4 linked regions of the Arabidopsis thaliana genome follow. The protein of the gene in region 3 binds, or shares a complex with, the protein of the main gene of each other region. Each region holds a gene or a part of one and is shown on either strand. Other genes may lie near its edges.

Evidence for each region.
Region 1: Tic32-IVa (region 3) and TIC40 share a complex: the UniProt entries of both Arabidopsis thaliana proteins name them as parts of the tic complex.
Region 2: Tic32-IVa (region 3) and Tic20-V share a complex: the UniProt entries of both Arabidopsis thaliana proteins name them as parts of the tic complex.
Region 4: Tic32-IVa (region 3) and Tic22-IV share a complex: the UniProt entries of both Arabidopsis thaliana proteins name them as parts of the tic complex.

Annotation. Positions count from the first base shown.
Region 1 is NC_003076.8:5,447,818-5,457,171, reverse strand, and holds TIC40 (hydroxyproline-rich glycoprotein family protein), read right to left. Parts: upstream 6,553-9,354; 5' UTR 6,365-6,552; coding exon 6,169-6,364; intron 5,918-6,168; coding exon 5,800-5,917; intron 5,712-5,799; coding exon 5,654-5,711; intron 5,544-5,653; coding exon 5,526-5,543; intron 5,116-5,525; coding exon 4,806-5,115; intron 4,687-4,805; coding exon 4,580-4,686; intron 4,473-4,579; coding exon 4,409-4,472; intron 4,047-4,408; coding exon 3,962-4,046; intron 3,857-3,961; coding exon 3,816-3,856; intron 3,632-3,815; coding exon 3,586-3,631; intron 3,480-3,585; coding exon 3,385-3,479; intron 3,304-3,384; coding exon 3,200-3,303; intron 3,100-3,199; coding exon 3,052-3,099; intron 2,970-3,051; coding exon 2,916-2,969; 3' UTR 2,595-2,915; downstream 1-2,594. Other genes in the region: DNA repair protein Rad4 family, read right to left, coding at 1-127, 457-506, 608-709, 788-880, 982-1,074, 1,163-1,426, 1,710-1,847; AT5G16610 (uncharacterized protein), read left to right, coding at 9,227-9,354. UniProt on the Arabidopsis thaliana protein: Involved in protein precursor import into chloroplasts. Part of the motor complex consisting of a co-chaperone (TIC40) and a chaperone (HSP93) associated with the import channel (TIC110).
Region 2 is NC_003076.8:22,553,398-22,559,752, forward strand, and holds Tic20-V (TIC 20-v-like protein), read right to left. Parts: upstream 2,254-6,355; 5' UTR 2,228-2,253; coding exon 1,598-2,227; 3' UTR 1,481-1,597; downstream 1-1,480. Other genes in the region: BAM4 (beta-amylase 4), read left to right, coding at 1-3, 78-237, 351-604, 705-774, 998-1,066, 1,153-1,305; AT5G55720 (Pectin lyase-like superfamily protein), read left to right, coding at 2,650-3,464, 3,557-3,695, 3,875-4,099; FLA1 (FASCICLIN-like arabinogalactan 1), read right to left, coding at 4,978-5,610, 6,354-6,355. UniProt on the Arabidopsis thaliana protein: May be involved in protein precursor import into chloroplasts. Not redundant with TIC20-I, TIC20-II or TIC20-IV.
Region 3 is NC_003075.7:12,225,354-12,233,530, reverse strand, and holds Tic32-IVa (NAD(P)-binding Rossmann-fold superfamily protein), read right to left. Parts: upstream 4,629-8,177; 5' UTR 4,361-4,628; coding exon 4,255-4,360; intron 3,510-4,254; coding exon 3,278-3,509; intron 3,202-3,277; coding exon 3,122-3,201; intron 3,005-3,121; coding exon 2,851-3,004; intron 2,777-2,850; coding exon 2,698-2,776; intron 2,614-2,697; coding exon 2,526-2,613; intron 2,410-2,525; coding exon 2,363-2,409; intron 2,221-2,362; coding exon 2,038-2,220; 3' UTR 1,813-2,037; downstream 1-1,812. Other genes in the region: AT4G23420 (NAD(P)-binding Rossmann-fold superfamily protein), read right to left, coding at 4,969-5,133, 5,301-5,347, 5,471-5,558, 5,649-5,727, 5,818-5,971, 6,072-6,151, 6,235-6,466, 7,138-7,221 and 2 more. UniProt on the Arabidopsis thaliana protein: Involved in protein precursor import into chloroplasts. Part of the redox regulon consisting of TIC32, TIC 55 and TIC62.
Region 4 is NC_003075.7:16,060,798-16,068,698, reverse strand, and holds Tic22-IV (Tic22-like family protein), read left to right. Parts: upstream 1-1,801; 5' UTR 1,802-1,983; coding exon 1,984-2,349; intron 2,350-2,439; coding exon 2,440-2,502; intron 2,503-2,874; coding exon 2,875-2,949; intron 2,950-3,045; coding exon 3,046-3,096; intron 3,097-3,213; coding exon 3,214-3,273; intron 3,274-3,378; coding exon 3,379-3,441; intron 3,442-3,847; coding exon 3,848-3,883; intron 3,884-3,968; coding exon 3,969-4,061; 3' UTR 4,062-4,262; downstream 4,263-7,901. Other genes in the region: FLDH (NAD(P)-binding Rossmann-fold superfamily protein), read left to right, coding at 1-68, 169-474, 570-710; AT4G33355 (Bifunctional inhibitor/lipid-transfer protein/seed storage 2S albumin superfamily protein), read right to left, coding at 1,131-1,140, 1,253-1,602; PGSIP3 (plant glycogenin-like starch initiation protein 3), read left to right, coding at 5,638-5,823, 5,911-6,565, 7,523-7,901. UniProt on the Arabidopsis thaliana protein: Involved in protein precursor import into chloroplasts. Imported into the intermembrane space via the Toc translocon. May be involved in the import pathway used by proteins without a cleavable N-terminal pre-sequence.

The sequences.
Region 1 (9,354 bases), on a different chromosome or scaffold from region 3:
CTGTTTTGGTACCATAAGTGTTGACGTCCTGAATATCCCATGCTTCATTTTAGCTCTGTTTTGACCTGATGATTCATTCCTATCGGCCCCAGGTTTTAAGGATGCAACATCAAGAATAGACACAAACCTGTAAAACTCAACTTATTACAAAAAACTCGAAACACGCTTGGCATACTAAGCTGTAAGTATTATAAATAAGTAACACTCCAGAAACGATGGTACCGTAAATAGTTATCTGACCAAGATTAATCTTGAAAAGCATAATGTCAATGAACGTTATGGATCTAAATAATTAGCCAAATAGGACTGAGGAAACTCATTAACATGCAAGAATGGAGTTCTCATATGCCACTTTAGACAAGGTGTCATTGATACACAGTAAAAAACAGATTCACAACCAAGCTCAGAAACCAAATAGAAATACTATATTGTGGCAACATAACAAGTATCACATACCGGGTTGTGAGCTTTAATGCTCTAAGCAAAGCAACAGCCAGTGCTGCAAGCTGCAAAAATGTTTCCATAAGTTTCGTAAACAGAGGTTTCAACAATACAAGTAACCATATAATGAAAAGGTTCAATGGCATAAATCTGATCCCAAGCTTACCTCTTCCGCTGTGCCTTTACGAGATTCAAGAGCAAATGCTAGGGATGTACGAAAAGATTTCTCAGAACTGGGAGAACAACTAACAGAAAAGTTTTCACGAACCTACAATTTAAACCAGGGAACATTTGTTTAACCTTTCCATTAGAACAAAACAAAAGCTACATGCCAGTAAATCCATACCCAACGAAGAAGAGGGGCTATATCCTTGACAGTAACTTTCTCGAGATTTGATACTTTTGTCAAGTATGATGGTAGAAGTGAAAGCAAGGCAGCCTGCACGTTAAATGTAAAAACTAAACTTTATATCGCAGGTTGCAATATGAAAAATTTAACTTTGAAGCAACTGCTAACACTGTTGTATTCAATTTATTCACCTGAATCAAGGGATCATTACAAGCACTGTCAACTATCCTCCCTCTTGCAAGCAGACAGAGCAAGTGCACCTTATGGACAAGTTCCGCCCGTACCTTTGAGACAAAGCACAAATCTCTAAAGCAACCACATTTTAAAGAATAAACAAAAGTAAGCATATTGTGTTTCCTAAGCACAGTATACCTTGTCTTCTGCTGTTGCACGGTATGCATTCTTCTGCTTCTTAGCATCAGGAACATCATCATCAAATTCTATGGTTAGCTCTCTGGTGTCATCAACATTATTATCATCAACCGTACTATCAAGACTAGGGATTGGACAGTCTTCCCAGTCTGAATCATTCATTTCATCATCATCAACATTACCACATCCCCTGTCCTCTAGAACGTTATCAATCAATCTTGCGTCGAGCGCTTGCTTTCCCTTACCGTTTACGCCTTTATCCCGCTGCAATGATAGAAGAGTATTAAATAATTTTACACTCCCGGACAACATAGGACTAGATAAGACAAAAATCTCCACTGTCCCAAGAAAATCTTTAGGCATAGGACAAGGAAACTATTTTTAACAGCCATTGATAATTGGTTAGTAGTACCACGGACTTCACAATCTTCAAGGAAACCTTGAAAACAATCAATAGAATTCGTTGCTTCTAACATCTTAAGTACCCTGGTAAACATAGTGAAATCATTATAACAATAATGTTGTTTGCATGAATAGAAGAACAAACCTTAGCGGAATCACAGTTATCATCTTGCTTCTTCTTGCCTCGAGAGCCACGGGCGCTGCTTTTGTCTAGAACTTTGTTGACTGCTACTCTAGAGGCTTGTGCAAGCCTACAATTCTTACTTTCACTTCTAGACTTCATCAAGAGAAACCTAAGCATTAAAACCAGAAAGACAACGGTAAGACAATCCCAAAACGGAGTCATCATAACTCTTTGCAACTTTCATCAATGATTAAACTTTAACAATATAATATCCAATTCCAAAGATAATGTGTAATGTTCTCGCATAGAGTTCTTGAGGTTACATTACCTAAGACTAAGAAAGAGACAATATTTACTAAAAAGACAAAAGCTTTCTGAATAATCATGCTCACAGAATATCACATACCGTCAAACATTACGATTTTATAACTAAAACACTCTTCAAATGAATACCAAGCAAGGATGGTTTTTTCTCCTCGATTTTCTCAAGAGTCAGGGGATTATAAAGAACGGAAATACAAATTTGAAGTCACAAGGATACTTACCCACGACTCAATCATGCGACTCACAGCCGTCGGAGGCAGACGTATTCGACGGAGCCAAGGATTTCACGCGCCAATTCTCCCGACAACGACCGACGTACGGAATACAACAACAACAAAAAAAAACTCCGACTCCGATAGAAGTGGAACGATAAGGGTCATTGATTTCTTTAAGATGGGGCCATCACTTCATTAAACCGCTTCGATATCGCCACGTCACTTCTCCTTTTGGATATTAAAAATAAGGTAAAATTCCAAAATAAATCACAACTATTTAAAATTTGCGAGAAAAAAACTTCAATTTTTTAAATTGCTAAAACAAAATATTGGCAGATTTATTCACACAATCTCAAACAAAAAAAATTGAGGTTTTTTCAAGCAAATTTTGAATACATGAAGTTTATTTTGGAAATTTTCCCTTAAAAATAATAATTTGCTCTTCAGTGTCTTCATAGACTTTTTTTGGTAAGACAACAAATTCTATTGTATAATATTCATACCAAACAACAGCAGCGGCGTTTTCACACGACTCCAATTCCCGACCGCGTTTAAGATTAACATGGTACACAATTCTCTGATCTGACCAAAACTGAAGACTCTTTGCAAAAAAAAAAACATTTTTTTCTCCCTACAAAAAGCTAAAGACAATGTGACATTTTTGATAGAACCAAAGACGTGAGCTTTTTCAACCCGTCATTCCTGGGAAGAGCTGCGATATCTTGTTGAACACATCCATTACCTGCAATCAATGTATAATAACCTCAAATTTCTTAAAAAAGTAATCGCCTTTTTGGGCAATGGAGAAGTGGCAGTATTATTACCTCTTTGTCGTTTTGGTACTTCATGATGTTCATTGGGTTCTCTGAGCACTGCAACAACAACAAGAATGTAATTGGTTTCTGTTTTGTATGAAGAAAGAAGTGGGGTAAAATTAAGCAATTCTCTTATTCAGGTTAAAAGAAAACGTACTTCCATTAACGCTGCTTGGACTCTAGGATTCTGGAATGCCATGGCAACATCAGGGTTCTCCATGATCTTAGATATGACTTCTTCTGGAGTTAGTCCTATTTGATCTGACAAATACAGATTCAATCATTGAGTATCAGACCTATTTAACGTACTATTAACTTGGTACAAACTGAGATTTGTCTTACTGAATTGTTGCTTCACTTCAGGACTATTCAGGTCAAAATTCTTCAATGTATCTGTCATTCGCTTGTCCCATTCACCACTCCCACTCATATTATTCCTAAATTCATGAAAAGAAACAAACAAGAGTATTTCTTAATTACATAGTTTAGACATTCTTAAAAGCAATGGAAACAACTAAATTGTTCGTAAAATGGAGCTCTTACAACATGTCCTGTAGTTGTTGACGGTACTGAGGATTTTTAAGCATCCCTACAAAATTCCAAGCGGAGACAATAAGTACCAAACTGTATTTTAAATTTAGATAACCATTGGATCAACCTATAAACGAATTACATCATTCAAAAGCTAGTCATGTAACCTTTAGTCTTTAGAAATATGTAAAAATGAGGACTAATAAAAGAATGATAGCAGGATTAAATATTAAAAGACTTACATTTGAAAGTTTCTGGGTTCCTCATCTCCTCAGGCAAGTATCTGCATTTATACATGCAATGTTACCAAATGTCCACTAAGCAACCAGTTTTAAAGATAAACTTAATGGATGCATTTAAAGACAATGTGCTAGGGAAGATGAGTTACGGGTAAACCATCTTCTGGACTGTTGGATCTTCCATCATTTTCTCTAAAGCTTCTACAGATAAACCCGGCCCTCCTTTCCCACCACCTGTGTAAACAATAGACAGACTCAGGATTCAGTTTTAAATTTAGAATAAGGAAAAGAGAGACAATAACGTGAGCATATAAGAAAAAAGAATCATAACACATGAGATATGAAACAGATTGCCAAGGTAATATCCTGCAAGTCTTATATGGTTATACCAATACAGATCAACGACTAGCAGAAGGACAAAAGTAACGGAGTAGATCCTTTTGAAGCCAACTCATTCCTCTTTATCACCAATTTCATATCTTCCTTTGTTTATAATTGTTGGCATATGCTATAAAATAAAATTGAAATCCGTAGCCTTAATCATGAATCATGCACAGTGCGCTGATAGTGATGAAAACTGAAATTCAATAACTCACCCAAAGATTGAAAAACCTCTGAAGCAGTGGCACCATTTGCCGGACCAGCTCCATTTTGCAAGACCTTCACCCAGAGATCAATAAGAGAGCATAGAAGGTTAGCAAAACTATGTCACGTTTTTAAATCACCACTTGGTGTGCTGTGGAAATACAAAAGAAAACGAAACTTACATCCTCAAACAAGCGAGTTTCTTTGGGGGAATTAGTTTCAGAGACTTCTGCATAGTTGCTAAATGGGCTTTCTTTTGTGGTTTCCTCGGGTGAAATGTCTTCAAAGGCTGCATCCAAAAGTAAATCAGCTTCCAAGTTAGAAGCTTGGAAAATGAGAAAGGAAGAAAGTCAAAATTGAGAATACAAATGAAAAGACGTTGATTTCTGAAACAGAAAAAGAATCTACCATAGTTCTTTTCTTCTTTCTTCTCTTTGCTTGCCTCTAAGACAACACTTGGCTTATCCACCTCTATATCCTTTGCAGGTGTAGGTTTCGGTTTAGTTGAAGGAGGTGTCTCTACTTTTGTCGCTGTCACATCAACGGTAGCACCTGAAGACTGGGATTGAGATTGGAATGGCGAGGAAGCAGGACTTGTTTGAGGAGGAAATGGAAACGGAAAAGGTGATCCTGATGGGAATCCAGAATTATTAAACTGGCTATTTTGCGTATTCATTTGGTTCATCATCGTCTTCATAGCTGTTTGCATTGCATATTTCTAAACCAAAGCAAAAAAAAAAATCCAAAGAGAGTAACAGCCGGTTAGAGAATAATGAGAGAAAGCAATGACAACTTGTATAATATATTTCAATCAAATACTGGAGTTGCGAAAATGACTATAAGTCTGAATACCTGAGTTGCATCACTAAAACCATAATGGTATGTAGGTTACCATCTACGAATCAAGTGACTACCCAAAAAAAGAGAGGCAAAAGTTCGATGCTTATATAAACGGTTCAACAAGTGTGAGCAAACAGTTCACCTTGTTAAGATAACCAGTTTAGTGAATAAAACTATCTCAGATACATGAGCACAATACACTAGAGTTGACATGAAGCATAAAATCGTGGTTCTGCAACAGACTAGAGAACAAAAGTCCCGTAAAACCAGAGGGCCAAGTATCTGTACCTTTAAATTTGAAGTTACCTGCAATGCCATCAGAAAAGAAAAAAGGTCAAGCACTTATTAATCAATATTGAAGCAAGAAAGAATATTTATAGAGGAAAAAAAAATTAGGAAGGAATCTTGATACTCACATATGAGAACAAAGCTGATAGACCAACACCAACACCAATCCAGAAAAGTGGTGATCCTCTACAAGAAAAAAGAAAAAACACAATTTAATAACCAAGAATCAAACGACATACAAACTAAGCACATTGTCCAAAACCAGGAAAATTACATGGTTGATGAAGATGGTGGTGGCACAGGCACACTAGGGGAAGCAACAGAAGTTGTCTGTTGATCACGACTCGAAGAAAATATACTTGCAAAAGCTTTGCTTCTCTGTTTCACAACCACTGCAAATCGAACATAAACTTAAAGTAAACAATTCTAACAATGAATGGTTTCTACAAGAATTCAAATTGCAAATTCACAAAGTGTGGATTTTTTTAAGAGATATAGCAATTCATAAGCTCATATTAAACCAGTCGAAAAGGGTTCGCAATTTGAGTTTCAATAAGATAGATAAAAGTAATAAACTGGAAATTTTTCCGGAAAATTTTGGCATTTGCTATAATAGAGTGTCGAGTGGAATTTGCAAACTAACCGATTTCTCCAGTGTTCTCCGGACGCGAAGAGGGAGATTGAGATTGAGCAGAGGCAGATATTTTGGAACACCGGAGGACAATATTAGGAGTCCGACGAGAAAACCCAGTAGGGTTTTTCAGCGAGGAAGTGAAATTGCATCCAATTAACAGCTTTGGAGAAGAAGCTGAGCAAGAAACTAGGGTAAGGTTCTCCATATCTAATTGTTTCTTTGGGAGAAAAAGAAACAGAAGAAGGAGAGCCTAAAACAAATTCTGGTGGAGAAGATGAAAGATATGATGAGGAAGAAGGAAACGAAGAAGAAGAGATTTTGGTCTAAAACCACGAGGTTTGAGTTTAGCACTAGACTTGGATCCAGTGTAGCTAAGTGTACTGAAACCTTTTTACAAATTAACAGGTGGCGATATTTTCACCGTCAAGATCAATGAGTTTTATTTATAAACCAAGGGTGTGATGTGAGTGAGAAACTCTTTCGAGATTATTGCAAAAGCCATCCCCCACTTTTTCTTTTTGTTATGTTATAGCCCGTATCTATTTTAAGAATCAGTGTACACTCATTTTTGTAGCAGAAAATCAATGATGTTAGTACTGTGATTCAGATTTTTCTATATACTGTGTTCTTTTTCTTTTTTTCATCCAGAATTTTTCCATTGTATTATAGGTTGTGAAATACAAAGGGTGGAATACAAATTTGAAACACAAAGCCGGCGGAAAACAAAAATATCTCCGGAAACTAAACCTAAAGAAGGGAAAACTTAAGACGAAAAACGAATAAAATTACGAACTATGGAAACAAGGGGAACCACAGATGGATTAGTCCCCAATTAAGCCCATACATGAGAACAACAAAATTGGCTAGGTTTTTCGTTGTGTTTCTCGTCCAAACGAATGAGACTACGCCCAAATGGGACTAATCCATTTGTAGTTATACTGTTGTGTTTTTCGGATTGTCCAAAAAATTGAATACTTAGTTCAAAGCTCACAATGAACAGGTTCAAGAGCCTTACGCCTTTAACATTGATTTAGGATTAGAGAGTCTGGAACCGTTGCCGAGTTACATAGTTTACACATTTCTTATTAGAAAAGAGTTTTAGTAATAAAGAAAGATACACTTTCATATAGTTTCTGAATATTATTATGGAAGTGTAAGTCTCCTATATGTAACTCGTTCACCTTCATCATCAAATTGGTTTACACAGTTTGTTCCATATGTCATTCCCAAAGTACATTGTTCTGTCAAATTATTCCACCATGTGGTAAACATCGAATAATGCTCTCTTCTATTTTCCCAATTTTTTGTGAATTTTCCCCAATTCGAACATAAAATGACATTAAAATTCCTAACTCAATATCTTTGTAAGAAGAAACCCACTCTTGGTTGGATACATATCAAGCATCCAAAAAAGATCACAAAGTAATCTTACAAATCAGCTACGTTTAACAATATCGAAGACAAAAACAGAATTCATAGCTGCTTCTCAGACAAAGGGCACAATGATTCCACATATGAGTGCTTGAGAAAATGATAATGTTCTTCAAGATTTAAACTAAGAAAAATATCGAACAAGAGCTCTACACTGATCTCTTCCTTGATCTAAAACACAAAGGGAAACAAATCCCCTTCAAGTATTTTAGATCAAAGTGTCATCAAGCAATACATATAGCTCAAGAACTCTTTCTTTGGATTAAATCAAGAAGAACCACATCACATTCTCAAGCCCATCTTTTCAGTGTGGTTAAAGCAATATAATCATCATAGAACAGCCAAAAAAACAAACCAATTTTTTTTTTTAAAACAACAAATTTAGAAAAACTGAATATGAGAAAAAGCTGCTTCTCAGACAAGGGCCAAGGTTGTCCACATGAGTGAGCTTGAAAAACGTGAATGTTCTTCAAGCCTCAAACCATGAAAAATGTTGATAAGAGCTCGACATTACTCTCTACCTTAATCTAAACCACAAAGGAGAAAAAGAATCCCCTTCAAGCAACTTAGATCAAAGTGTCATCAAGAAACTCCGAGATCAAATCTAATCTTTCTCTGGTTTGAATCAAGAAGAGCAAAATCACATTCTCAACCCCATCTTTTCAGTGTGGTTAAAGCAAAAAGAATCATCATAGAGCAGCATCAAAAAGCAAATTTTCACAAAACCTTTATTTGAGAAAAGGTTAACACTTTATCATAGAAATTCGAAGATCTAAAATATCCAAACATAAGATCAGAATTAAAAACATAGGAAGATGTCGAATCTCGAGAAAATGCTAGAATCCACGGGAAAAAAAATTCCCAGAATGCTACATGTCCAGAGACTCCAAACCATCAATGAAGATGTTTGATTTAGCATCGGAACATAAGATTTCTTTTAAGCTATACATGAGTGCTAAGCTTAAAGACTCCTATCACAAATCTGTTCCTTATATGCTATTCTTAACCTAAGATTTCGTAGCGAAAAATTCAGATTTTAACAGAAAATCAGAACAAAAAAATCGGATCTTTTCGTGAAGATAATATCTTGCGGCGAAATCAAAGACGAAGTCTTTTATTTATAGCTTAGGGTTTACATCTATGGGCCTTTAGGTTCTATTTTTATTGGCCCATTAGCCCAAATAAAATAACCTTTCTCTTCGCTCCCTCCTGTTTCCCCTCTGTTTCGATGATAAACACACACAAAAAAAAAAAACGATTTCTTTCTTAACTTGTTAATCAGTAAGAGCGTCTCAATTTCAGTGTTTCATCGAATATGCTGAGGTAAGGTCTCCGTTTCACTGGTTATGTTTCAATTTGGCTAAAAACAACTTTTTTATTGTTCATAAAAGTGAGTGACACAAAAGCTTCTTCATGTTTATTACCAGGGTTTCGACAATCTGAGATTCTTCTCCTTGTGTTCATGTCCAAAGGAGATTCCTTTCTTCATTCTCCTTACCTTCTTAACAAACCCTTCTCTCTTATTATCTAATTCGCTTTTGTAGCTCTATACGCAATTAGCAAATTTGGAGAAATCTCGATTATAGCAATTTTCTTCAGTCTCCATGTACTTTTCCTCTGTATTACTCTAATTCAAATGTATAAGATGTGCCATGAACCTACCAACATCTCTTCATCGGAGTCTGATTTTACATTCCTTGAGGAAGACCATCTCCCCTTGACGTCACGGCGGAGTTTATTGCTATCGAGTGAAAGAGTCTCTCA
Region 2 (6,355 bases), on a different chromosome or scaffold from region 3:
CATGTGAGTGCTTATTTATTGAAAATTTGTATTTGCCTGTACTAATCACACTTACAGATTTATACTACTTGGTTTAGGATGGAAGACTTGATGGCAGTGGCATCCCAAGAAGGCAAACCTCAATGGGGAAGCAGAGATCCTCCGAATACCGGCTGCTATAATAGCTTTCCATCTGGAGTTCCGTTCTTTGAGGAGGGCAATGATAGCTTTCTCTCTGACTATGGTCGTTTCTTTCTAGTATGTTCTATATCATAGCCTCTTTGGTGATTCTGATATAATATATTGTTATGATATAAAAGTGGCTAGTAGGCTGGATTATAGATAACAACGTGAACTGCTTTTCATTGTAGGAATGGTACAGTGGGAAGTTGATTTGTCATGCTGATGCTATTCTTGCAAAGGCAGCCGATGTCTTGCGGAGACGTCAGGAAGAAGAGAAAAGCTCTGTAATGCTGGTTGCAAAAATTGGTGGAATCTATTGGTGGTATAAGACATCTTCACACCCCGCTGAACTAACTGCAGGTTATTACAACACCTCCCTCAGGGATGGTTATGATCCTGTAGCTTCCGTCTTGTCTCGTCATGGTGCTGCTCTCAACATCCCGTGAGAGCCTTTTTCTGAAGTTTTCTTTTACTATGTACATAATTCTCAGAAGCTGCATGGTCCAGTTTCACTAACGAGAGAATCTATCATATCTTTTCAGCTGCTTGGATATGGCAGATAGTGAAATACCTGAGAAATATCTTTGCAGCCCTGAAGGATTACGTAGACAGGTACTTTCTTTCGTAAACCCTTGATCCAGAATTCAATTATGTTCATATGAAGTATGTATGTTACTTGTATTTAGACCGGTCACTGTTGAAGCACTATTTACTTCCGTAGAGACACTTCAAACTAGTCTAGTCTCTGTGTTCTTACTGCGCTGCTACATTAGACAATTAAGCATGCCTTATAAGAACATGAACAAATCAGCATTATCACATTTTCTTTTGCTAGATACATGATGTTTCGAAGAAGTGGACAATACATGTGACTGGTAGAAACACAAGCGAAAGATTTGATGAGGTGAGTTATTTGCACATGCTTTAGTCTTATACGTCTGAGGTCAAAGTGGTGGTTATTAACCATTTTCTATATGAATTCTGCAACAGATGGGACTAAGGCAAATACGAGAGAACTGTGTGCAACCGAATGGCGACACTCTAAGATCATTTACGTTTTGCAGAATGAATGAGAAGATCTTTAGGGTCGAGAACTGGAACAACTTTGTCCCTTTCATTAGACAGATGAGTGCAGATATGTAAACACACTCACCACCCATTGGTGTGTTTGTCTTTTGTTACAGAATCGATCTTTCCTCACCATATTGCTTTTTCAGATATGTGATGAGGAGAACTAATCAAATCAAAAATTGTTATATGATAAAATCTCTCTCTGTTTCTATTCTTCATTTTGTTCTATCTCTATTGCAAAAGTCTTGCAGAAACCTTTTTCATTGGATCAAAAAGTTACATTGTATGTTTTGATTATCAGAAAGCGATCCAATACAGAAGGTTTAATCACAGCAAATGTGTTACATACAAAGATATTATTGAATCAAAGGACTTGCCTATCAGCAGCCTCGGCAACAAGAGGCAACCTCGGGGTCAGACCAAACAAGCAAGCAGAGAATCCATAGATCAAAGAGACAAGCAAGAAGAGGAACACTGTGCTGTCCAAACTCATCACCACATCTAAACCAAACCCATCTCTAGGATTAAAGCTCCTCTCAAGCAAATCCGGGAAAATCAACAACACATCAAGCACAATCGCCTGCATCGTGTTGAACCTGACGTACCTGCTGAAATTAGGGTTCCTCACAACGACGAAGTAGAGAGTGATGAAGATAAGAAACCCATTGAAAGGGAAGCTCTTGAAAGCTCTGATGGCGGGAAACAAAGGTTGGATGAGAATCTGAAAAGGTTGGTACTGTGTGATGATGAATTTGCCGTATTGAATCCCATCGAAGAATGGGTAGAAGTAACAGACGGCTGAGATTATCCGATCCGATGCATCGACGGAATCATCACCCTTGGATTGGAGTACGAGTGTGGCGGCTCTGTCCCTGGAAAGTCTAGGTTTTGGGAATTGGGTATCAAGGTTTAGAGGGAGAAAAGAACGACCGGTTAGGGTTAGGGTTCCGGTGAGAGATGGTAATGGAGCAAAAAACTGAGATATTATTGCCATTTTGCTCTGTTTTTGTTTCACTTCACACAAAACTGAAAGACTGCTTAACACATGATGAGAGGATAATAAACTAAACTCCACTCTGTTTTAAAAGTTTAGCTTAAAACATTGTGTCGTCTTCTTATCTTTCTAATATGATAAAACGGTACGTAGTTATTTGAAGTAAGGTAACAATTAAATAGCCTCTGTTATTGTCTTTGTTTTTTGTGTATATTTAAATATCAAAATCCACCGGTATAAAACGGCGTAATGCCTTTGTATTGGACCCAATTCTTTCAATTTTCACCTAATTTAATTACCTCCGTATTTATTTTTTAGTGCACTTCAATGTCTCTTGCATATATATATTGGAGCAAATTATAAACATAATGTTCATAGTGAAATTGTTAGTTGGTTTTAATCTCTTTTTAAGACAACATATAATGTCAATTGTATGTACGTTTTTCTTGTTTCTCTTAAACACTTCTTTTGCGTTTGCATTTGCGATTCCTAAACCGCCAATAGTAAGGAGACTATCAACGACAGTGACATCAAATTCAACAGCGTCTTCTTGCTCAGCCAATGGAAATCCAATCGATGAGTGTTGGAGATGCGACGAAAACTGGAAGGACAACCGCAAAAACCTCGCGGATTGCGCGGTTGGATTCGGACGCGACTCAATTGGCGGTAGAGCCGGGGAGTTCTACACGGTGACTGATTCAGGAGACGACAATCCTCTAAATCCAACTCCAGGTACATTACGGTACGCTGCGACACAAGATCAACCTCTATGGATCATTTTTGATCGAGACATGGTAATACAACTAAAACAAGATCTTCAAGTAGCTTCATACAAAACCATTGATGGTAGAGGAAATAACGTACAAATAGCTTATGGACCGTGTTTAACTTTATATAAAGTTAGTAACATTATTATAAACAATCTTTATATTCACGATTGTGTTCCCGTGAAACGGAATGCTTTATCGTCGTTGGGAGGATACTCGGATGGAGATGGAATATCGATATTCGAGTCTCGAGATATTTGGATTGATCATTGTACGTTAGAGAAATGTTACGATGGGCTTATTGATGCGGTGAATGGATCCACGGATATAACGATTTCGAATAGTTACATGTTGAATCATAATGAAGTCATGCTTTTGGGCCATAGTGATGAGTATTCCGGTGATCGGGATATGCGAGTTACGATCGCGTTTAACTATTTTGGTGAAGGACTTGTCCAAAGAATGCCAAGGTTAGTACAATCTTATATTTCTTTTTCTTCTTTTTTTAATGTCAAATTTATAAGCTAACCAAAATATTCGTGCTTAAAATACCAATGTGTAGGTGTAGGCATGGATATTTTCACATAGTGAATAACATTTATAGAGACTGGAAGATGTATGCTATTGGTGGAAGTGCTAATCCAACGATCTTTAGCCAAGGAAATGTTTTCATAGCTTCCAATAATCAGTTCACCAAGGAGGTACGTTCGTGACATGTGCTCCACAAAACTAAGAGCGTTTTAACCTCACAATTAGTACAATCTAATTCATAGTCGACTAATCATTTAGAAATTTGATTTTCATGTGTCTTACTATATGGATTAGATTCTAGACGGAAATGTTTGCTCCATACTTCTAAACTCACATGCCCTATACGCAGGTTACAAAGCGAGAGAGTGCAGATGGAGACGAAGAATGGAAGGAATGGAACTGGAAATCAGAAGGAGACGAAATGGTTAACGGAGCTTTCTTTACACCGTCAGGGAAAGAGGATTCTCCGAGCTACGCGAAATTTTCGAGTATGGTAGCTCGACCAGCTTCACTTCTCAAGACCACACATCCATCAGTAGGTGTTCTTAGTTGCGAAATTGACCAAGCTTGTTAAAAACACAAACATAAGCTTGTGACCAAATCTAGTGTTTGTCCTTCTTTTTCTTTTTTGCTCTTCTACTTGTTGTGGTTATTGTTATCGTAAATAGGATTTGTACTGAATGTGATGATGATCATAGACCCAAACAACAATTGTTCATTGTCAATTTCTTTACCAAAAAATTTCTTTTACGAGTCACAAAGTTTCGTCAGTTTTTTTATTTATAAATACATTAAAATTACTTAACAACCTTTTTCCATCGGATAAAACTAAGATTGACACTCATCATTAATAATTTTATATATACTCCCATTTTTTTTAGTGAGTGTTAACATAAGATTAGGAATTATTCGTATATTGTTAGTTTCTTTTATTCTAACTTTCCCAATCATATTGGGATTGAGCTCATCCCAATATGTATAAATAGCGTACTCAAGAGACCAATCATCAAGTGGCTAGTAATGTGGCTCAAGACCTAATTTCGTAGCTAGCTACTTTTTTATTTGTATTTTGTATATAACACATTAAAGGCTTTTTTTTCCTTTGATTCAATGTAAATTTCGTTACCTTTCAAATTTCTGATTTGTGATGATCTGAATTAGTTTTTGGACTCATTATGTGAAAATCAGTTAGACAAATACAAAAACAAGAAAAATATGACAAGATCACCAAAATCAGGACTTGTTTACATCATCAACTAAACAAACACGTGAAACAAGAACACACAAATATATAAACTACCGACTATTTAATTCGACAACCAACTTTTAAATAAATAAAAAAAACTCAACAATAGAGGGAAATAAATAATCCTCATTTACTTTCCCCCAAAAACCATAAATAAAAGATTCACAAAAAAAAAAACATGGAAGAATAGAAGAAACGAAGTGAAACTATAGAAGCCAAGAAGAAGCAAACAAGCAGAGCAAGCTCACCACCAAACCAGCCTTAGCTCCTCCGATGATCCTAACCGCACCAGCATCATCTGCCGTCGCATCATCGGCCTCTCCGTCAGGCCCTTCGGCAGGCGAATCCGAGTCACCAAAAGGATCATTATCTGGCGACGGTGCAGCCTTCTTCTTCTTTCCTTTCGCTTTCCCTTTAGCCGCTTTTGGAGAATCCGCAACATCACCATCCTCTGGTGCCGGAGCAGGAGCCGGAGCTTCAACAGCCGAAGCCTTAAACAACTCTTTAGGCAACAAAACCTTATCAGTCGCATATATAGCTAAAGGCTGCTCATCAATAAGAGTATCAACGATCTTGACAGTGTTGATCCTTGTCTTGAGGGTAACCTTCTCTCCATCGTTCTGTACAGTAAGCTCAAACTTGTTAGCTCCATCTGTCGCAAGTGTGTTCATCGGACCATTGTTGGATTTGAGCATCGCCATTGAGTAATATGTCGGGACAGCGAGGAAATCGAGAAATGCTTCTTTCTTTGGAGCTGTCAAGTTCTTGTATTTGGGCAAGAAACCTTTCATTGCATCATCTCCTGGACAGAACACTGTCATGCCTCCTTCTAAACTCTCCTGTTACAACATAAACACAATCCAAAACCCGGTTTTAATCTCTCAAGATCAATTTGGTCTATCTTGAAGTTGACTTGATTAAGATAGTGAAGTTGAAACTTTTGTAGCTACTCAATTATAATGGCTAGTGTGAGTTAGTGGAGACAAATTATTGTTACTTTTCATATTTGAAAAAGATGAACCATTTTTAAAAATTTAGTTAATAGAATTTGGTTTCATAAATTTGAATTGGAAAACTAACTAATTATGTTCCGATAATTGAGGTAATTAAGTCTATATGTTTGACTATATTTGCTAATTGCTTACGAAACAGTCAACACCTTTTGACCTTTTTCTTTTTGTTTCAAAACCAATGTGGCAATAGCTATTGGCTACAATACAACAGTACAATCACATGCATCTTTTCTGAATAAGTAACTTCTCATTTAACAACGGAAATTAAAAGGATAATCATTTTAGATAGAGCTACTAATCAGTGTTAATTATGTAAGTAGTAAATATCTGATTTCTTTTTTTAATAATTTCTAAATTTATACAGACACATGCATCTACTTATTGATTATTTATGTTATAAATGGAAAACAGAAAACTAATACTTTTACTAAAATCAGGGTTAGTAGTGATAAGTGTACCAATTACATTTATTAATTAGTACACAGCCACATGCATATAATTATTGATTAATTAAACAGAAGATTACTAATTATCGTAATTAATTACTAATCAGGGGTTTAGTATAGTACCT
Region 3 (8,177 bases):
AGATTCAAATCAATAATAGTCATTGATAAGACAATAGTCTTGTGTTTGACACCATATGTTTTTTGGGGGTAACAAACAGCTCAATGATATGCATTGTTTTTATGGTACACCGAATGATGTTCGATGTTTCCTTGGTTGCTTCCAAAGTCAGTCCAAAAGACAGTTTTGTTTGTACATGCTCACTCAATCCCCCACGTGTCCTCACGTGATATCAACGTACGGTCCTGATGGCCTCATCACTCCCTTTTCACACGTTTCATCCACGGCTCCGAATTATCGCCTCTCCAACACCTTTTCAAGAGATCACATTTGCTCTTTTAGCAGAAAAATGGTCTAATTTAGAGAATTAAAGTCCAATTGTGAGGCCCATCCTTATGAATTAGGAATTGAATAGAAGGAATAATTTTGATTTAGTTTCATGTAGACACTATTTCCTTATGATTTAGCTTTTGTTTGACAAAGCAAATTTTGTCAATGATTGAAAGATGAGTCAATTATGAAGCTTAAATATATGTGAATGATAATTGTAAGGATTATATGGATTTTAGTCATAGTGATAACAAAGATCACTTGGCCACATGTTTTGGTTATTTTTGAAAACTTTTTCTGTTGTTGAAATCCTGAATATATGCATGAAATCGAATTTTACCACATTACGGAGAAGAGCAATTATTAAAGTTGAATGTGTACACAGCAGAAAAATACAAAGAAAGCGTCCAATCTGTACATGTACTACAACATGATTGACTTTTTGGTAATGATAGAATAAAAATGAATATGTAATTCAATGTTACCACAATTTAATTACTTTGTAGTACCACGGATTAGTTAGATAAAGTAAACACAAAGGTGTGAACTTAGATCTCTTTATAAGTGGTTTGGTGGCTTCTCAGAGAGTTTGAGAAACATTACCATACTCTTTATTAGTCCATCCCCCAACCATTCATATACGATTGTGTGATATATGTTCTTTTCAATATAGTTATATAAATTTTCTCAAATAGAATGTTACAAACATATTTGATTAGTTTTGTTGTTGCTGATGATGACAACTAATTTTGACAATTTCAAAAATCATTTGTTGTTGTTGAAATTTCAGTCCTTTGTTGCTCATCATAGTGTAAGTCTATCAACAACAGTAAAATGAACAAAAATCTTTAGTATCGTATTATATACTATATTAGGTCCATACATTTTTACGAGTTAATTTGAGGTATCCACATCCATACACACAATATCTCATATTGGAGCATGTGATTTTTCTGCAAATAGTTTGTACGTACAATAGATATGATTGTGAACAATTGTAAAATAGTCACAAATAGTAGTACTCTAGTACTTGGCCACATTTCAATAATCTTTAGTGATCAATCTTATCACCCTAAGATGAATTTTTCTTTTTTGTTAAATATCAACATATATAGTCCTAAACCTACATTGAAATTTGCTCTCGTTATAGTTTGAAATTTATACAATGCATATCATTAATAGCATTGTTTGGTCCAAATCAAATAAATATAAAAACAAATGCCATCTAACGACCGACAATTATATATAGAGGGTATGAAATGAATTAAATACAGAGCCTATCTATAACACTCTATATCGACAATTTGCACGTTATGATCCAAATTCCAATCACAAAGATTAATTAATTACTTAACCTTCCTAATGAAACCATTAATAAAGTGAGTTTAAACTAGAAAACTATCATCATTGATTTTTATTTTCATTTCTGACCATCACTTTAATAATGCATTGACAGTATTGTCTCCTCGTGGCTTCTTCTTCTTTTTGAATTCGAAAGTTGTCTTTAAAATCTTCTGATACTTGATTACAAAGCTTTTTTACATTTTCTTCTGATAAGTGTTTGGTGAAGGTTTAGAACTAAACCGGTCAGAATAAACCATCTTATTGCAGATTTGTTATACGTTTTTATTTCCTTTGATAAAGACTGAAATAAGTATTGTCACAGTAGAGATAAGAGACGTTGAAACATGAAACCATTAGTAAAGATTCACTGAACATCATTTACTTTCAAGAACTGCTTTCTCCTGATTGTGAATCGGTAAGCTTGGTGCTGAAATCCCAAACCTTCTTGGCCAATTCTGTATCTTTGACAAGTGGTAATGGTTTAGCAATGTTGCTATCTTGGAAGTATTCCCCTGAAACTCCTGCAACTTGAGGATTCAATGCCACATAGCAAGTTGTTGCCGCTCCCTACAAAGTCGTATACTCAGACATTATAAACCACATAACGGAACAAAACCAAGTTTTATCCTTTAAGCAAGATCTGAGAAACCTTGTGACCAGTTTGTAAGTGATTGGTTACCAGTGTGAGGCTTCGAAATTAGAAGCATACCTGTGGAACAGACTTGAGTATATATTTAGCCACTGCACCAACCGCTACTGCATCAAGCCAATGCCAGAGAGGATCAGAAGAAGTATATGTATGCGTTTGTTTACTTGTGTGTAACCTTGTGAAGTATGGGGTGATGATAGTGGAATAAGAGAAAAGAAGTTACCAGCCAAATAGGGGTTGAAGTAGCGCCCGAGGTTAGTCATAATGGCTCCTGGATGAAGCGAATTTGCTGTTATATTGACTCCATCTTCCTATTTTATTCATACCAGATTTGAATCAATATAACCATGGAAACATAGATTTTGATTTGATAGATCTCTTGTTTTTCTAGTTACCTTCAGTTGCTTTGTAAGCTCGTTGGCGTGCAACACATTGCAGAGTTTAGATTGTCCATAAGCTCGCATACTACTGTAACTGCAACGGAGACCAAACCAAGGAAGAATGTTAGATTTTGATAGAAGAATTACTATTTGGTTCACCATTAGTACCTTGACTTGTCATTGATCTTATCAAAACGAACTCCTTCTGGATACGAGAACCGATGAGCTTCTGATGATAGGTTAACAATTCTTCCTTCTCGTTTGCTTTCACGTGATGTGCTCTTCATTGTATCTAGCAGAAGTTTAGTCAACAGAAAATGACCTGAAATAAAGTGGATCACAAATTCCATGCCACTGACTAAAAACTAATGATGATGTTAACTTAAGTATATAACTTTAGAACAAAGCCACATAATGTTGGTTTACTTCTCCTACTCACCTAAATGATTGGTTGCGAATTGCAGCTCGATGTTGTCCTTAGAGAGCATAAAAGGACATGCCATAATCCCGGCATTGTTGCTTACAAGATTAAGACAATTCAAAACATTAACCATCAATAAATCAAAACCGCTATATACAGTATTCAATAGCTTACATCAAGAGGTTGAGTGGAAGACCAGTAGATTTGTACTCAGACGCAAATTTCCTGACAGATTGCATTGAGCTGAGATCTAACTCCATGACATCGAGTTTAGCTCCAGGGACTTGCTTGACAATATCTTCCTTAACTTTAGCACCAGAGTCAGTGTTCCTCACCGCCATAACCACATGCACACCACGCAGTGAAAGAACACGCGCTGTCTCTACTCCTATACCACTTGATGCTCCTGAAAATATGAACACAAAGACAAGAAAACTTAAGGAACCAAACATGTCCAGAAAACTCAATGCAGGCTAGACTACTTTTTAAAGTTGTATCAACCAATGATCAGTTAAGCTCTTCCAAGCCTTTTCAAACCCTGATAGGCTATTAGGCTGACTCAGGGTTTGCCCAATCGATGCTACACTCAAATATGTATGTGCAAGTCTTTAGTGTCACCTAACAGGGTTCTATCAATTCAAGGACTCCATTGTTCTTGTTTCAGGCCCTAATGTAATATGATCAAAATATAGAAACGATTTCTACAAGCAAATCTGTATTTTTTCTTCCCTTGGCCAGGAATTGTATAGAGTTGTGATATATAACACAACTTACAAGCAGCTGAAACAGAGACGAGTTATTTTCCCTTAACATGCAATTATACATATGGTCCCAAACTTGTTGTACTTTAAAATTCACCAAACATGGAATTTTCAATCCAAATTCTTGAAAAAAAAGACAACTTTCGAACAAGAAACAGTGATGACCTCAATATTTATTAGAGTTGACCGAATCAAAGACAGACCCTGATGATAAAAACCTTAAATTCCAATTGTCTAAACAATAAAAGTCAAGTCTTTTTACTAGATATGAAATCAATTCGAAGACAGAATCAGAGAGGACAAAAGTTCTGGAAATTATAAGAAAAAAAGTCTACAACTTTAGACAACCCCATGTCGCAAAATGGCATGAAAGTGTTGATAGAAGAAAACCTGTGACTATGGCAGTGAGACCAGTCCCATCAACACCATGTGTGACTTCCTCTGCAGTTGAACGAGACGAGAATCCAGATGCTCCTTTCGATCCAAAAAACCACATCTTTCAGCTTTTTTTGTTTCTGCTGGAGAAGATGAGAGGAAAGAAGTCCAATAAACACAAACTATGGGACTTGTTAGCGTTTTTCTCTTCTTGAGTGGTCAAGCGATTTCGCTTTTATTCTGATTTAAATAACTTTATTTGTTCATATGTGACAGAAATGTGATTACTTTACTTTAATCCTCATGTCTCACGAGGTTGAGGTTGAAGTGTAGAATAGTGCATCTCCAAAGTCAAATGATGGGGATTTATTAACAACTTTCTTTTTAAAGGATTTAACAAATGTCCTTAAAATAGCTCCCACCAATAACATGAGTTAACTCCAAAATCAGAAGATGTTTTAAGCTCTTTCTGTTTGGTTTCTTACTTACTTATGTCTACGAGTTAGTTCACTAGACAACTGTTTTGAGTCAATGAGAAAACAGATAAGTAACACTTTTGTTTAGGCTGAAATTGGATAAACCATCTTTTTGCAGAATTGAAATGGAAATGATTTCAGATTTGTTTTTTACATTTTATTTTGTATCAATAAAGACTGAAATAAGTATTGTCACAATAGAGACATCGAAAGTAAAGGTTCCCTGAACAACTATCTACTGCAACGGTAATCATCATTGCGAATCAGTAAGCTTAGTGCTGAAATCCCAAAGCTTCTTCGCCAATTCTGTATCTTTGACAAGTTCTATTGGTTTAGCAATGTTGCTATCTGAGAAGTATTCCCCTGTAACTCCTGCAACCTGTGGATTCAATGCCACATAGCAAGTTGTTGCCGCCCCCTACCAAGTCGAATACTCAGACATTATAAACCAGATTACCAACAAAAACCAAATCAATCCGTAAAGCTAGACTGCTGTATCATTCTCTCCTACTTAAGCTGAGAAACCTAGTGACAAGTTTGCAAGTGATTGGTTATTAGTGTGAGGTTCAGAAATTAGATGCATACCTGCGGAACAGACTTGACCATATATTTAGCCACTGCACCAACAGCTCCTGCATTAAGCCGGTGACAGAGAGATCAGAAGAGACTCAAAATATATGTATGCGTTTGTTTACTTTGAGTGTAACCTTATGAAACATGGAGTGATGAGAGTTGAATCCGAGAAAAGAAGTTACCAGCCAAATAGGAGTTGAAGTAGCCCCATAGATTTGTCATAATGGCTCCTGGATGAAGTGAATTTGCTGTTATATTGACTCCATCTTCCTGTTTTTAATCATATACCAGAATTGAAGATAACCATGGAAACATAGATTCTTGATTTGCTATATCTTTGCTTTGTTTAGTGTAGTTTACCTTCAGTTGCTTTGCAAGCTCGTTGGCGTGCAATACATTGCAGAGTTTAGATTGTCCATAAGCACGTATACTACTGTAACTGCATGTGGAGACCAAATCAAGGAAGAATGTTGGCTTTAGAAGAAAAGATGGGATCGGAGAATTATACTATTTGGTTCACCATTAGTACCTTGACTCGTCGTTGATCTTATCAAAGCGGACTCCTTCTGGGTACGAGTAACGATGAGCTTCTGATGATACGTTAACAATCCTTCCTTCTCTTTTGCTTTCACGTGATGTGTTCTTCATTGTATCTAACAGAAGTTTGGTAAGCAGAAAATGTCCTGAAATGTATTTGGATTACAAAAACCGTTGCACTGATTAGAAACTAATTATATAAAATGTAGGACAAAGCCATAATGTTGGTTTGGTTATCATACTCACCTAAATGGTTGGTTGCGAATTGCAGCTCGATGTTGTCCTTAGAGAGCATAAAAGGACATGCCATAATCCCGGCATTGTTGCTTACAAAATTGAGACAAGTCAAAACATAAACGTCAATAAATCCAAACGGCTATAGATGAACCACGATATTTCAATAGCTTACATCAAGAGGTTGAGTGGAAGACCAGCAGATTTGTACTCAGATGCAAATTTCCTGACAGATTCCATTGAGCTGAGTTCTAACTCCATGACATCAACTTTAGCTCCAGGGACTTGCTTGACAATATCTTCCTTAACTTTAGCACCGGCGCCAGTGTTTCTCACCGCCATAACCACATGCACACCACGCAGTGCAAGAACACGAGCTGTTTCTACACCTATACCACTTGATGCTCCTGAAAAAACATGAAAACAAACAAAACAAAACTTGAGGATCCAACATGTTCAGAAATCTCACTTTCTTAAGTTGTATCAACTAATAGATTAAGCTCGTTCCTAGCCTTTTCAATACCCTGATAGGCTGATACAGAACATGTGCATACTAAACTACATACTCAATCTAACCAAAATAAGGAAGCAGCACTTCACAAAAGTATTGAAACGAGATCTACAAGCAAATCTTTTTTTTTTCTTCCTTTGGTCAGAAATTGTATAGTGTGTGATTATAACATAACTTAGAATCAGCTGAAACAGAGACAAGTATGTATATATATGTAACTTTCTAATAGCACATGTTATTTGCAGATCAAATGGTCCCAAACATGTTGTACTTTAAAATTCACCAAACATAGCAATCCAATTCTTGTGAGCAAAAGCTTGTTACTTATTGGCAAAAAAAAAAGACAAACTTTAGAACAACAAACGGTGATGACCTCCATATATTTATTAGGGTTGACCGAACCAAAAACAGACCCTGATCATAAAAACATCAAATTCCAATTGTCTAAACAATAAAAGTAAAAAATCTCTACCCTACATATGAAATCAATTCATAATTATAGAAAAGTCTACAACTTTAGACAAACCCAAGTCGCAAAAGGGCATGAAACTATTGATAGAAGAAAACCTGTGACAATGGCAGTGAGACCAGTCCCATCAACACCATGTGTGACTTCCTCTGCTGTGGAACGAGAAGAGAATCCAGATGCTCCTTTCGATCCAAAAAACCACATCTTTCAGCTTTTTTTCTTCTGGAAAAGATGTAAGGAAAGAAGAAATTAACACAAACTCTGAGATTTGTTAGGGATTTTCTTCTTTAGTGGTCGAAGGATTTCGCTTAAGTTCTGATTTTAATAATTCATATGTGACAGAAAAGTGTGATTACTCTAATTGGGAAGGATAAATAATGACGAGGAGAGAATCCTCGCTTCTCACGTGGAGATTTGATTAGAAGATTGCATCTCCAAAGTCAAATTAACAACCTTCAATAAAATAGCTCCACCAAAAACGTGAACAATTAAAGAAAGACCTCAGATGTTATAACAGTTACCAGAGAGCTAAAAAGATTGAACTATTGCGGATGGAATGGGCCGCGCGAACGCAGCCCCCCAAGGCAACAAATAATGACGCAGGATCTCCCACTTGGCCATTTGGGGAAACCTTAGGCTTAGCGCACCTCAAGTGCAGGAAGCCACTAGCCTAGGCCATGGGTATTCATGAACAAAAGATTGAACTACTGGGAATGGTAGGGGCTGCGCGAACGCAAACCCCCTCTGCCACAAATAATGACGCAGGCTCTTCCACAAGGGAAGACCTTAAGCTAAGCACCCTTCCGTTATGTGCAATGGAATTCACTAGCCTAGGCCACTCGTCTTCTTGATCACGAGTTGACCCCGTCCAGGTAAGTAATTTGCAAGCTTCGACCATGTTCTTTATTTATACTATGTCACAGACGAGTATCCATCCTCAAACTTCCGATGTGGGAGAAGCGATTATTGCCTTCAAGGCAAGGCTTCGTTACTCTAGTTCTATACCTTTGTGGGCCTCCTCAATGACTAATGTCTGGCCCAAAGATAACCCATTTGACTACCTAAAATAACATTTAAAATAATGTTCCATAAACATAAAACATTTAGCTCTTTTTTTTCAATTTCTTAACTCAGATTT
Region 4 (7,901 bases), 3.8 Mb from region 3:
TTTTGCTGTATCCTGGTGTTATTTTTGGTCCAGGCAAGCTCACTTCAGCCAATATGGTTGCTAGAATGGTATGATTCTTCCTTTTGCTGATTAGAGTTGCATTGGTGGGATGATGTAGTGGTACATTGACAGTATGTGGTTGATTATCACATGATGTTGTTCTTCTAGTTGATCGAGCGCTTTAACGGGAGGTTGCCTGGATATATTGGCTCTGGGACGGATAGATACTCCTTCAGCCATGTTGATGATGTTGTGGAGGGTCATGTTGCTGCAATGGAAAAAGGTAGGCTTGGTGAAAGATACTTACTCACTGGGGAAAATGCTTCTTTCAAGCTTGTCTTTGACATGGCTGCACTGATTACTGGAACCAAAAAGCCAAACTTTAGCATTCCATTATGGGCCATCAACGCATACGGATGGTTATCTGTTTTAATCTCTCGGGTTACAGGAAAGCTTCCACTTATCAGTCCTCCGGTGAGTTTCAATTGCATTCATTAGTTGCCCACATATTATAGATTATCTTATTAGGTATAGAATAATCTCAACTCTTAGTATTTTGTGATGAACAGACAGTGACAGTGCTGAGACATCAGTGGTCATACTCTTGTGATAAGGCTAAGCTGGAACTTGGTTATAACCCTCGAAGCCTAAAGGAAGGATTGGAGGAGATGCTCCCTTGGTTGAAGAGTCTGGGCGTCATTCACTACTGAAATTCAAATTTCCCATCTTTCAGGTATTTCGAAGAATAATATTCCCTTGAATTCAGTCACTATGATGAGTGATGACTACATTTTTACTTCTCCCGTTACACTTTTAACCCAATCGATTTTTATCTTGTTACAAAACTGCTTCGTTTTGATCGTGTATGTCAAATAAATGTGAAACATTGTGTGCAAATGCTGATGATCATATTTTAAGATGTTGAGCTACGTGTGAGAGTAGGAAAGAGGGAATATGTAAATGTGGGAAATAATCACATTTTATCTGCCAAGAACTATATGATTACATCTATAACATATATGATCAGAAGATAAATACTAAGTATCCATATAATTTGTTCATGATGGTTTTGATCTTTTAGGATATCCACTTTATTGTAGCTGCATGGCCGTTGGTAGTCAATCTTCTTTTCAGTTTATGCTGTTCAGTGTTCACAAAACAAATTAAATAGGTCAATTAGAGGATTATGTAGTTAGAAGCTCTCACAACTACACATGTTTCGGCAATATTAAAAAGAAACTGCAGTAGCTACCTGTTACAGTCCACAGTCTTAGAGAAAGGGACTCCTATATTAACACCACATTTAGCAGGGAGTTGTTTGGCAAAATCATCATTAATTCCAGGGATTGTATTAGCTACACTCTTCAAGCAATTACAAGCTACTTGTCTATCGGCTTTCTCAGGCGCTGCGGCTTTTAGACTATTAAGTCCGTTGCAGCACATTGGAGACGGATTTCCTCCAGCTTTTAGATAAGGCAAACATTGTGCTAAGTACATGTTTACCTGCGGACATGCTATGGCTTCTCCATGATACGCAATCCCCAATAAAATCGTAATCACAAGTAGTAACATTTTTCGGGTTGTAGTAGTAATGTTCCTCATATTTTTCAGTTAACGAGAGTTTTAACAATTTTGTTTTCTTTAGTGTGTTGTTTGCTTGATCTAGTAAGTATTTTATAAGGAGGAGAAATTTGGAGGAAAAAAATGTCATCGACATGAATTTTGAGTGACAAAAGCTTTTTGTAAGTCATGTCATGTGTTTAGAATGGTGTGGAAGTTGAGTTTAGAAAGTTAATAAATGCTTTGTCACCAAACTTTTGATCAAGGGCCATATTAAACGTAAACTAAAACCAATCAAGTCCAATAAAGCCCAAATAAAAAAGCCCAAACGAATTGCTCTGAAGCCTTTTTCTTCACTCTCTTCATAGTATCAAAAATTGCTTCTTCTTCTTCTACTTCTTTCTTCTCTCTGCAAATCCAAAAATGGAGTCATCAGTGAAACCCAATCCTTTCCTCTCCTTCTCTTCTTTCATTCACCACCAGTGTACCCGCTTCAGCTCCGACCTCTCCGCCCGAATCGAAGACACGAAACGATTCGCCGAAACCCTAGCTACTCGACGTTTCTCTCTTCCTACTCCGCCGCCTTTCGCCTCCGTCTCACAATCCAAGTCTGGAACCCCGACGACGACGTTGAGTCCATCTCTTGTCGCTAAAGCTCTCGCTGGGACGTCGGTGTTTACAGTCAGTAACACCAATAACGAATTCGTTCTTATCTCGGATCCTACCGGAGGCAAGTCTATCGGTTTGCTCTGTTTTCGACAAGAGGATGCTGAAGCTTTTCTTGCTCAGGTTTCGCTTTTTGTTGTATTTTTCTCCTCCGAACTTTTTTAAAAAAATGTGAAGTTTCTGAGCTCATAATTCTCTAATATACTCCTTTAGGCGCGACTTCGGAGAAGAGAATTGAAAACCAATGCGAAGGTTGTTCCCATTACTCTGGACCAGGTAGTTCCCTTTCCTTATGATCACTGCATTAGATCAATGTGGAAGAAGCCATTGGTTAAATCAAATGAAACAAACAAATTTCAGGAGCTCAAATTCTAAGTAGACTTGTTCATGTCTGGCCTCATTTTAGTTGTTTATATTATACGGTAATAGGAACACCTGTTGGCAGTTTGAATGAACGGGAGATTGTGTTCTTGTGCACGTAGCAATGTTGACAACATCGTCACAAGAAAGAATGCAACGATGGCATGATTATAATCCCTCTAATGGCTTGGAACTTATAAGTTATAACTACGTTTAGGGAACTTTTTGATGTTATTTGCGTAATCGTGGTAGCTACATTCCCAGAAGTTAAGATGATGTTGTTTACAGGTGTACTTGCTAAAAGTTGAAGGGATTTCCTTTCGCTTCTTGCCAGATCCAATCCAAATAAAGAATGCGTTAGAGGTTGGCTCATGCTAAACAGACTTTTAATTATATGTGTCTATAGCATTTATTTGGCATTTCAATCTTATCCATAAGCTATATTTTCTTGCGTCTCAGCTCAAATCCTCAGGAAATAAGAATGGGTTTGATGGAGTTCCGGTTTTTCAGGTAAATTGATATACTCATTTTCTGTGTTTTTCTATTATACCAATATGGATTCCTTATGTTTTGGTGTTTTTGCTTTGTTTTCTCTTGATATCTATCTGTTGTTATTGGCCTCTACAGTCTGAGCTTCTTGTTGTGAGGAAAAAAAATAGACGTTACTGCCCTGTATATTTCAGTAAGGTTGGTTAGTTTCTTCTCCCACGTTAAAGAATACTAATAGATCTCTCATAAGCCAAAACAGAGGAAGATAACTCTTACTTTCCTGTTCTGCGTGACCACTTTCAGGAAGATATAGAGAGGGAACTTTCTAAATATACGAGAGCATCAAGAGGAGATCAACAAATTATGGTAATGATTCATACCTACCTTCTATGTATTTGAATCTTCGATAGGCCACGTAAGATAGAAACAAACACCTTGATCTAAAGACATGGTTTACTAACAAGTGGGAGTAGCTAGTAGCTGTGTTGGCATCATATGTAATTTCTAGCATTTTTTGTGATTACATGTTCTGCAAACATATAACACCATGTTTTCAAAGGAACAGCGAGGGAAAGGGAAAAGTCTTAGAAAACTTTAGAAAGAGCGGAATTCAGATTGTACATGCCTTCATATATCTGAGTTAAAATGAATTCCAAGGTTTATCGTTATCAAAGTTGCATATCAGAGATCAATATATAAAGTAATTTCACAGCATTGGTTTTGTTAAGAGTTTTCTTATCTTCACCATGGAACTAATCTTTTTGTTTTGCAGGTTGGGAGTCTGGAAGATGTGTTGAGGAAAATGGAGGTACTCACGCTTCTTCTTTGTTTAAAGAAACCTTAAAGTATGAAAACCTGGTAGTCTAATAAAAATCTGAATTGAATCAATGTAGATGAGCGAGAAGAATTCAGGTTGGGAAGATGTAATATTCATTCCACCGGGAAGAAGTTATGCACAACACATGCAGGATTTGATCAAAGAGTAAAACCATAATAGACACAATGTGTGTATTTTTACTTGATAAAAAAAAAACAGCCTCTTTTGAGATTTTGCAATATTATCAATTGCCCAAAGAGCTCAACACAGTCCCAAAATTTAGTTTTCTCCTCTCCTTTTACCACTTAAACACATCATCAACATGTTACTCGTGGTTCTTACATCCAGAAAAATATATTTGGCATATACGGATACCTAAATCAAATAACATAATCTTGTTTGTTTTAAAAAGTGGAGATGTACGTTATTCATCTGTCATTAGAATGTAGTATCAGCCTAATTATTCAAAGGAGGTTGAGGCCTCTAAAATGATATGTTGGTTTAAGCTAATTATTGATCAAATTTGGTTGATATACGATTATTAAAACTAAGATGTCTTACCAATACTTATTTTCATTTTCTTTTCCTCTCATCATAATCGCTTTGACATCTCAGCTTAATGATAATGTGATTATTTTCATCCTTACTAATTGTTACTGCCTTAAAAAAAACAAGTTGAAGTAAGAAAAAGAAAAGGAGATGAGATTGTTTCAAAAGCATTGATCCTTTCCTGAAGCGTAAGTAAGCGATGTTGACAGCAGAACTAAACTTGTTGCTTGCTTGACTTCCTCCGTCGTCGCATATTGCACCTACTAACATTTTTTCTCTTCTTTATTCTTCCAACCAATTGTAGCCTATGGTCTTTTGTACCAATTTTTCAAAAGTTGTAGTTGGTAGAGGTTTTGTGAACAAATCTGTAACATAATTTATTTTCTAACATAGATTGCATCGTTTTCTGATAAAGATCATCAAATTGTGGAAATATGTAGTTTTTTTTTAGTTTTTTTTTTTTGGGCGGAAATATGTAGTTTATTATCCTACTTTTGATGACATTTTCCTTTATTCAATTGAGCTGTAACTACTACTTTATTTTATTTTTGTATTGTGTTAAGTTGTTGTATAGTCTTTATCGGAGATTACATGTTCTCCGAACTTATGTAACAGCAAGCATTCACAATTTGTCTCATTATTTACCAAGATTTGTGAATAGATAAAGTGGTAACAAAAGTCAATGTCCTGGAGCACCATTAATAGTAGAACCTTCAAATGACGGTAGATAACTTTTAATGAAATCCCTTTTGGGTTTTGCATTGGATGAGATAAAGTGATATATGTAGTAAATAAAAAGGATCCCTTACAATATTGTAATTTTGGTCCCATGTTTGGAGGTGAGAGCAAATACGTATCTTAAGGCATACGTATCGCAAACTCATGTCATTATCCAACCACAATCGTTGGCGACATATCTTTGTTTAATAATAATACATCAGGCTTGTGTTTGAGTAAAGAAAATCCTTTGACACGTCCAATGTAAACTCTTTTAGACGTTTTTTTTGTCCTACTCAAAAAAACTCAACCTCTACTTAAAGTACTAATTACCATGTTTTTGTTTTTTTCTCTACCCTTCACGTGGTTCGCATACAAAGAATATTCCTACACATATTTCTCGTGAAACCTTTAAACATTTTGATTTAGGAGTGTATATATATAAGATGAAAGATAAATGTTTGTCATTCAGAAACGAGATGACGATAATGACGATGATAATGAAGATGGCTCCTTCCAAATCTGCACTGATACGCTTTAATCTAGTCTTGTTGGGTTTCTCTTTTCTTCTCTACACTGCCATTTTCTTCCACCCTTCTTCATCAGTCTATTTCAGCAGCGGAGCTTCCTTTGTTGGATGCTCTTTTCGTGATTGCACTCCCAAGGTAAGGTGAGTTTACATTTTTGTTTGCAGAGTAAATCTTATATCAAAACTTAGACTAATAGATATCTTTATACTGCTATGTGATCAGGTGGTGAGAGGAGTGAAGATGCAAGAACTCGTTGAAGAGAACGAAATAAACAAGAAAGATTTGCTAACCGCTAGTAACCAGACAAAGCTGGAGGCGCCAAGCTTCATGGAAGAGATTTTAACAAGAGGGTTAGGAAAAACAAAGATAGGGATGGTGAACATGGAAGAATGTGATCTTACTAATTGGAAACGTTATGGCGAAACGGTTCACATACATTTTGAGCGTGTCTCGAAGCTCTTCAAATGGCAAGACTTGTTCCCCGAGTGGATAGATGAAGAGGAAGAAACCGAGGTTCCCACATGTCCTGAGATACCTATGCCCGATTTCGAAAGCTTAGAGAAGTTGGATTTGGTAGTAGTGAAGTTGCCTTGTAATTACCCTGAAGAAGGGTGGAGAAGAGAGGTTTTGAGGTTGCAAGTGAACCTAGTTGCGGCTAACTTGGCAGCCAAGAAAGGGAAGACGGATTGGAGATGGAAAAGCAAAGTGTTGTTTTGGAGCAAATGTCAACCGATGATTGAGATTTTCCGGTGTGATGATTTGGAGAAGAGAGAGGCAGATTGGTGGCTGTATCGCCCTGAGGTGGTTAGGTTACAACAGAGACTCAGTTTGCCAGTCGGATCTTGCAATCTTGCTCTTCCTTTGTGGGCACCACAAGGTAAAATTACTTTCATGCAAATTAATCTTCTTGCTAAATATTTTTAGTTTTAGCAAAAGTAACTAAATTAATTATGATGAAACCAAAAATCTTTTTTTTTTGTTTTTAATATACTTAGAGTACCATTAGCAAATTATTTTGACCACTCTTTTGTTTTTGAATTTGGTTACTTTTTCCAAGTAATTAAACTAAACAAACAGAAAATATATGTTGAACTGAACTTGAAATCGAAACCGTGTTTTGTGGCGCAAACGTAAAAAGGTGTATAGTCGGAAATGTGTCAGATGAACTATGAAGTGACTAAGACATTGTAACATAAAAGGACCTGCTTAAGTGAAATTGATGTGAAAGATACCAACTGTATGGTGTAATATAAAACAACTCGATATGTTTCTATACTTTGCTTATAATTGATTGATGTGTGTTAATTAGTTAGATATGTTAGTGGTTGTGTTTTAGGTATGTCGTTTTGCTAACCACCAAATATGAATTGTCATACAAGCTACCTTACACTTTTTAAGGAGATATTAAACCCTTAATTTCTTTCCAAAATAGCATTCGTATTGGTAGATCGAGTTAGTTAGCTAAATAGCTTGTGGTTTAAGAAAACGAATGATCATCGAATAAGGTTAATAATGATAGCTTTTTTTTTTACGGCAGGTTAATAATGATAGCTTATATGCTAATATATTAGAAAAACATTCAACTCTCTATGTATTTGTTTGTCAATTAATTAAGATTACTAAATATGAATATTATAAATACGATAATTCAAATTCTAATCACAAAAATGCAATTTTTGCTGGTTTAAGAAAATGCAATGGATGAAGTAGTTTTTGATAACCTATCCATGCATATATAGCAATAACTAAAATTTGATAATAATCGTTGAAGAAGTTTTTTCAATGGCCTTACTAAATGAATTAATGAGTTTTTTTATCCAAAAACAAAAAGCAGGTGTAGACAAAGTGTATGACCTAACGAAGATAGAAGCAGAGACAAAACGACCAAAACGTGAAGCCTACGTAACTGTTCTTCACTCTTCCGAGTCTTATGTCTGTGGTGCCATAACTTTGGCTCAAAGCCTCCTTCAGACAAACACCAAACGCGATCTTATCCTTCTCCACGATGACTCCATCTCCATTACCAAACTTCGAGCTCTCGCCGCCGCAGGATGGAAGCTTCGTCGGATCATTCGAATCAGAAACCCACTTGCGGAGAAGGACTCGTACAATGAATACAACTACAGCAAGTTTCGACTCTGGCAATTGACAGATTACGACAAAGTGATCTTCATTGATGCCGACATCATCGTCTTACGTAACCTTGATCTTCT